Oryzias latipes: one gene and its partner. The protein of the gene in region 1 interacts with the protein of each later gene in a pairwise test. Links are inferred from orthologs where the notes say so. Each region holds a gene or a part of one and is shown on either strand. Other genes may lie near its edges.

Region 1 (3,920 bases):
GTGTAATACATTTTTTGATGCACTAATGATTAGTTTCAGTTTTTAACACTGAAACACTTCAAGATAAGACATTACTGACTTCCTATCATTTTTTTAAATGAGATTTTACCAACTTTTAAAGGGATCTTGAGTCATGTTCTGCCCCGCCTTGAAATACAGATAATTTTTTTATGTACATTTTTTTTTTGTATCTCTAGGTTTGGGTCAAAGGAAGGACAAATTTAAGGATTTTTTTTTACCTGCTTCCTGTATCCCATTAAAACACACAAACACCAACTAAATAAGAAATAAAAAAAGGTCAGCTGGTGGTAAAAGTGGAGCAAACATTAGGAACATCTTGCACCTGGTTTCCTTTCACCTTATTCTTTTCAAAGTGTGTGGCAGCAAACAATTACTTGTGCACAATTGGCTCTAAAGCCTCAGATCACTTAACATAAGAGTGTGAGCTCCATGTGCCTGGCACACTCGGCATATATTTGGTTTTCATGGATCGCAAAACACCCTAAAAAGAAAAAAACCTGATCACTCACCTAATGCAGCGGTGGCCTTTCCAACCACATAGATGGGTTTGGTGTTCCACTGATCTCTCAGAGACTTGTTCCACTCTATAACAAGAGATGATTACATGTTACATCAATTTATTTGAAGTAGTAAGCCTAGCAGAAGAACAGAAATGTTAATTCTATTTGTGATATTCTACCTTCTTTTCTTTTTTCTGCGTCTAAGCACATTTTCACAGCCTCCACTGCCCTGGGGCTAGTAAATATAAGGCCTCCATGTTTTTCTGGCTGAAAAAGCTGAAAAAGAAACAAAAATCATAAACAATCGATATCTAATAACTTCAGGTATAAATATATATGTAAATATAATTGCTTTACCTTATCAGCCAATGTGTTTAATGAGACAAATTTAAATGACAGCACTGGAATTAGTGTAGCTTTGTGTCCATGTGATGCCAGCTCCTTCAAAATAAAATCAAAGAAATATAGCCACTATAATTAATGCAGAACTTTACCAGAACACTGAAACCTGCATCTACCTTAAGATATGGATCAGGTCCAGAAGCTTCTTCTCTGGGCTCTTTCAGAAGCAACACGTGCATTCTGGCGATGTCCTTTCAAAAATAATGGTAATATAAACAAGGGAAAATGCTAGAAAGACAGTTGGGACTCGCAGAACTGCAGAAAGGTTTAGGATCTGATTTAGCTAAGCTACACCCTTGAGCTGTTACATGCAGCCTCCTGATAACGAAGCTGCTGAGTCACGGTTAGAGGGTTGTTCATTATTATAAACACAAAACCAATTTATTGAGATACTTTGTTTAGTGCCGATGGGTAACTCATCCTCGGAGTCGAAGTGTTTACATTAGCAAGAAGCAGCAGATGACGTAGGCAGCTCCAGTTAGCTTCCTGTTTATGTGAAATGTGGGTGACATTTAGGTAATTACTCCATTAATTTACCCTCAAAATAGTAATAGAAACAATGCAAAAATAAATAATAATAAATAAAAAATAATAAACGCAGTCAGAGTTGTTTTTAGCGACGAGGTCCTATCAATCATTGGGTATGGTGGGGGGAGCTACAAAGACCAAACTTCTTCATTCACTCAACAAAGTTCTTAAAAAAAATTGTATTCTATTTACACATGTATATTTTTTAGATATGTATTATATTTTAAACATCATAGTGTATTAGATAAGTTAACTGTTTTAATTAAATTACATTTTAAAAAATTCACCCCCCAGAAACTGCAGTGGTATTTTCCCATTTTGCTAGTGTCAAACCGGATCCACTGGCAGCTGACATGAACGGAGTCAGGAGCCGTAATGGCGGCTTCCCGACACTAGTTTCTTTCCTGTTTCCATCGACTAGCTCCGCCTACTTCAGATGACACACGCGTGTTTCATGGTGCAGCATGGCGTCCTCGGCAAAAAAGAGAGCAGTAGGTTTGGGTGAAAACCCAGAGGAAAGCGAGAGTTCTGATAAGAATCCCGAGGATGATGGGGATTCCGAGGAGGAAGAGGAGGACAGCGACGCATCAGAAGAAATTAACGAGGTGAGTTATGGCACCAACCCAGACTTGTTAGCAAAGCCAGTTAGCATTAGACGCTAGCAATGTCAACAGATGGTTGATAATCTGCTCACATCATGTTTTGGTTTTTACATAGTATCTTATAAATTATTTTCTCCCTTTTTGTTTACACCTTTTCAGGAAGTCACCGTGGATTTTGAAGCTCACACCATGTCAAACAACGACTTCAATGGCATAAAAAAGCTGCTGCAGCAGGTTTAGTGTAGTCTTTATCATTGGTTAAGGCTGTAGGGGGTGTTATAAAGCTTTCACTGATGTTGCTGTCTATGTTTGGATCTAGTTGTTCCTGAAAGCTCATGTAAACACATCAGAGCTGACAGACATGATCATCCAGCAGAACCACATTGGAAGTGTCATCAGGGTATGTTCCTCCCTCCCTCCCTCCCATTCATTCATTCATTCATTCATTCATTCATTCATTCATTCATTCATTCATTCATTCATTCATTCATTCATTCATTCGTGGCTTTAATTGACAATATCTTGGTTCACCACTGCTTTAGCAAGCTGAGGTTCCAGAAGACAGTGATGATGAAGATGCAGATGAAGTGTTCGGTTTTATTTCTATGCTAAACCTCACAGAGAGAAAGGTAAGAATTTATTTATCAATGGGGGGAAAATATGATTTTTTGTGTGTGTTTTTAACATTATCCTGATGATGGGAAGTGGGGATGGGCTTACTCCACACCAACTCAGAGGGGAATTTCTAAATAACTACTGCTGCTCTGCAAAAACTATGTTCTAAAAAACTATTTTTTCTTTTAATTTTGACTAAAAATCTGGCGTCCATCATTCTTTTCAGGGTGTGCAATGTGTGGAGGAAGTGAAGGAGCTGATTTTGGAGCAGTGTGAGAAGAACGCTCCTCATGCTCTGACAGAACAGCTTGAGAAAATCTTCAATGACACCAATAAGCCCGTTGGGCTTCTGCTGAGTGAGCGTTTTATCAACGTACCCCCACAGATCGCCCTCCCACTGCATAAACAACTCCAGTCAGTTCAATTTTAACTTTTTTGACAACCTAAATCTTGTATATTGAAAATATTTTCAGGAGCAATTTTGAAATGTATTTCATTCAATTTTAGGGAGGAGATAGCTGACGCTCAGAGGACTAATAAGCCCAGTGGGAGGTGCCACTACTGCGTGATGATTAGCAAGACCTGCAAAGAAGCATCTAAGAATATCCAGTCCAGAGGAGGAGTTCCTAAAGAGGACTACATGTTTGTCAATGCTGAGGAGGAATTTTTTTATGAGGTAAAAGTTGCAGAAATGCAGAACAGCAAATCAAACCTCCTCATAATCATCTGTCACTGTACATTCCTTCGCACTTATGGAGGGATTTTTGTACCATTATTCCACACGCAACACTCACTGGTTTGATCGTAAAGCTTTACAAATTGTGTGTGCTCAAAAACTTTGAGCACATTTTGAGAAAAACGCACTTGAAACTCAAAAATATGCTGAAACAAAACAATGTTTGATCTTGAAACTGAAAATCACAAGTCAACTAGTCAATCAGCTCAGAGACTGGATCTGCGAGCTAATTGGATCAGGCTGGATCAGGTTTGGGCACGATTGGAATTTCTGACCACTCAATGTCAACCATCATGTCCATGTCTGTGATTGGCTGGCTTTCGGGGCACATTTGTAACGCGGTGCCCTACTTTGTTTCGAGCGCAGAAGAGAGAAATTCTCCCAAGTGAAAACTGTTTTGTTTGTACATATTTATCTGTTTGAAGACTAAAATTGTGTTTGTACACATTTTTGTCTTTCAAGTGCATTTTTTCTCTCTTAAGGTACAAAAAGATTATTTGACCGCACAAAATTTTA
Region 2 (3,920 bases), on another chromosome or scaffold:
ATTTATCCAAAATGATTGAAATTAATGATCACAAACGTTTAAATAATGACAGCGGGTCTAGTTATATGTGATAACAATGTATAGTGAGCAATGAAATAACTATTGGTTTCCATTTGTGGCGACTGCTGACTGACATTAGGGATGAGATTAACTAGATCCTGGAATTTAGCCTGGTCTGGAGCAGGCTAACTCCACAGAATAAATCTCCATGGTAACTTATCCCATAACATATCCTCCTGCCCCCTATCCAGCTTTAGTGCAACCGGATTGAGGATCAATTGAGCCAGGATCACCAAGATATCCTGGCTTAATCCCTTATCGTACTTTTGTGCAACAGGCCCAAGGTCGCTGCACAACATGTATACAGTATAAGAAAAACAATAAACAGGTAAAACAACAATTGAAATACATGCACAATTAAATAAAGTGTATATAAAAACATGAAATATAAATAATAAAGGCTAATTTAAAATCTATGTGTAGTTTTTTTTCACAATTCATGATCTTTTTATATATTTATGAGAGATTTATTGGTTGGTTGTGTGATTGCACAAGGTCCGATTTATTTCTTTATAAAGAACAATTTGGGGTTCCAGAGTCAGTGGAACAGCGAATATGTTATGTGTATGTATGAATATGTTATATATTATTTTTGCCTTTCAAAATAAGAGTGGCCAAGAGAAAAGTTCAGCGTTATTTTGGGTAATTTACGTACGAATAGGAGCTCCTAACCAATAAACCCAAACCAAGTGAAAATGTAGACCCTTCGCCCACAGCTGCCTTCTCTGCCCATTCATTGGATGTTTTTTTCCTTCTATTCCGGGCAGGAAAAAAGTCGGCTGTTCTGTAAACCGATAATTAACTTCGTTCATGTTAAAATGTAAGACGCTGTGGCCTTTCTGCTTTTGTTAAACACTTGATTGTGAAGGACGCCGATGGTCACTGGTACAGATATTTCCAATAGTCCCTAAAAGCAACATCATTGACCACGTGACCAAGCAAATATGAGTGCAGCGCGATTTCCCATAATTCCTTTCGGAACCAGTCTCTTCTCTCGCAGCCATGTCTAAGAGAGGTAAGAGCCGCTGGACCATCCAGGTCCATCCTAGGCTGGTGTCGCTCCATCGGGTTCTGGTTCGGCTCCTGAGCGCTAGACGAAGCGGTTACATGATTCCACAGCTTTATTTCGGAGGTTTTAGCGCAGATTATTCCTCGCTTAGCGCGGATTCCCCCGTGGATTCCTGCTAGCACTGCGGACGTTCCGCGTGTTCCAGTCCAGTTCGAGACGTCCTGCTCTAAAACCTGTAGGTGAAGAATAATCTGCGAACAGTCAACGATGGCGGTGAGATGGAAACTGGTCTGACCTGGTCCACGTAGACCGGATCCAGGGCCTTTTATCCAGCAGGTTAGCATGTTAGCTTCCGGTTCGTTAGCCGTGAGGGACTCAGTCGTTCAGAACAGTCGGTCCCCATCGGCGTAATCCTCCAAAAAAGACCTCCTGTCCGCTGGTTTACCGGCCTCGAACCCGTGGCGTGGCCTGAATGTTGGCTCCGGAGCCGGTGGGCCCTCCTGAGGGGGGGCAGGACCCCGTGGATGGTTCTGTGGATGTTTGCTGCCGGCAGACACGGACCTGCGGGTTTCACGGCAGCAGGACGGACCTGTGATCTACGAGGGTCTAACTGGTCTTTCTCCTTCCAGGACGTGGTGGGTCTTCTGGGGCCAAGTTCCGCATCTCCCTGGGTCTCCCTGTGGGAGCCGTCATCAACTGTGCTGACAACACAGGTACGCCTTCCCAGCAGGTGCATGAGGCTGTAAGTTGGCGGGAACCGGTGCAAACGTTGCGTTTGCTGGCAGCGCCGTCCTTCCAAAAGCACTCGCTGGGTCTGCTGTGGCTCAGTGAGTTGTCGATGAAGGGCAGAGAAAGTCATCACTGTGGGTGAGACGGCAGCGTCCGCCTGTGGCTGACCGCTCTCAATCAGGGATGGGACACTCCCTCCACGTAGGTCACAGCTCAGACTGACGCTTCTGCTCCTCAGGGGCCAAGAACCTCTACATCATCTCTGTGAAGGGCATCAAGGGCCGCCTGAACCGCCTGCCCGCCGCAGGCGTGGGGGACATGGTGATGGCCACAGTGAAGAAGGGCAAGCCAGAGCTCAGGAAAAAAGGTGGGTGTGGGCAGCAGGAGGGTCCCTGTGGGTCCTTCGGCTCACCGGTCTTGGTCTGTTTGTAGGATTTTCTAGTAGGGCCGTCACCCGATCCACAGAACCACGGTTCCTATTTGATCTAATGTCTGAACGATTGTTTGAGGCATGAAATAAAAGTCTGTAATCACTTCATTTAGAAGCGGAGACCCGAATCACTTCAAACAACGCCAGGCTCAACTTCCTGGTTAACTCCAGCAGGAAACAAAACCTAAACTCGGCTGATGCTTTGATTCTCAAATCCTGAAAATTTTCTCCGGTTTCCAACCTCAAAGTAATAAGGAAGACGCCTCAACAACACGACGGCATAGAGAACTCAGAGAGGATGTTCCTGAATTCATACCTTTATTTAATGTAGGTGTATATATGTCAGAATTATTTCACTAAACGCATCTTCTGTCTTTTGTAAAGTCAATAGTTTTACTTTGAAAGGGAGAAGCTCGTCTTCCTCCAGACTCTGCTTTAGATCCAACATTATTCTGTGTTTTAGAGCAACACGTCTGCAGCTTCAGATGGTTTCTCTAGATGGGTAGAGGATCTCATTCTTGGAGGAATATTTCTGGTTGCATTTTGGGGAACAGATGACAAATGTCTGGGTTTTTGGAGACGTCACAGAAATCCCGTCTTTATTCTGGACGTCTGTTTCTATGAAGGGTAGACCTTTAAAAGTCTGGATGTTTCTGCCAAACATGCAGAAGGCGTGTGGAGGACGTCCACAGCCTAAAACACCTGGAATTCTCTCATCTGGGTTACTTTAGAACCGATCTCCTGCGATACAGGAGGGACGGCCGTTTTGGTTGGTTGTACCCTGACGGGAGCTCTGCTGTGTTGCAGTGCATCCAGCGGTGGTCATACGACAAAGGAAGTCGTATCGGCGAAAAGACGGCGTGTTCCTGTACTTTGAGGACAACGCCGGCGTCATCGTGAACAACAAAGGAGAAATGAAAGGTGGTTGTGTTCCAGGTTTCCTTAGTTTTCACTGAATTCTCTTCCACCGTCTGGATTTTGGCTGAACTGCAGCTTTTCTGGTTCTGTCTGCAGGTTCTGCCATCACAGGTCCAGTTGCTAAAGAGTGTGCAGACCTGTGGCCCAGAATCGCCTCCAATGCTGGCAGCATCGCCTGAATCGTTTTCAATAAAAGTAATAAACCCAGAGGACCGGCTCCGTCTGACTGTGTGGAACCAGAACTGAACTTGGTCTCAGTCACATCAGTGTGACGACCCGGTCTCACAGATGTGCCGTCTGATGGCGGTGGGGAGGACGGACCTGCGGTGCCGCCTGCTTCTACACTGCAGGTGTCTTTGACCCGGCTTTAAAGTCCAGAACTGGTCCTGTTCAGGTACAGGAAGGTGTTGACTCAAACATGAACAGTTCTGGTTCCTTCAAAGTTGGGTGTCTTGGTAAATCTGGAACAGAAGTGCTGCTGGGAAGTTTCAAACCAACAAGTCAGTCCACTATAAACGCTCTGAACCCAAACGTTACCAACAGGAAGTGGCTCAAAGAAGTCAAGATCCCAGACTTACTGCTGTTCCTCAGTTCTATTGGTCAGAACCGTTCTGATACCTTTAACATCTTGATTATCCTCTTTTCTTAATTTTTGTGTTCATTCTAGATCAGGGATGCTCATTACGTCGATCGACCGGTTGATCTTAAAGGTCATGAGGGGAAAAAGATAAATAACCAAAAAATAAAACATTTCTATCAACGTCAGCACTTCAA

The links.
Region 2: the proteins of bccip (region 1) and rpl23 interact in binary tests that used the Homo sapiens proteins (3 or more experiments, as listed by UniProt). The link is inferred for Oryzias latipes from reciprocal best matches to the Homo sapiens genes BCCIP and RPL23.

What each region holds. Positions count from the first base shown.
Region 1 is NC_019877.2:11,824,432-11,828,351, forward strand, and holds the start of bccip (BRCA2 and CDKN1A-interacting protein), read left to right. Parts: upstream 1-1,804; 5' UTR 1,805-1,915; coding exon 1,916-2,056; intron 2,057-2,212; coding exon 2,213-2,287; intron 2,288-2,372; coding exon 2,373-2,453; intron 2,454-2,595; coding exon 2,596-2,682; intron 2,683-2,894; coding exon 2,895-3,082; intron 3,083-3,175; coding exon 3,176-3,344; intron 3,345-3,920. Other genes in the region: uros (uroporphyrinogen-III synthase), read right to left, coding at 531-605, 701-797, 879-962, 1,040-1,114, 1,739-1,768. UniProt on the Homo sapiens protein: During interphase, required for microtubule organizing and anchoring activities. During mitosis, required for the organization and stabilization of the spindle pole.
Region 2 is NC_019866.2:25,931,705-25,935,624, forward strand, and holds rpl23 (60S ribosomal protein L23), read left to right. Parts: upstream 1-967; 5' UTR 968-1,062; coding exon 1,063-1,075; intron 1,076-1,698; coding exon 1,699-1,782; intron 1,783-2,036; coding exon 2,037-2,165; intron 2,166-3,035; coding exon 3,036-3,149; intron 3,150-3,242; coding exon 3,243-3,325; 3' UTR 3,326-3,355; downstream 3,356-3,920.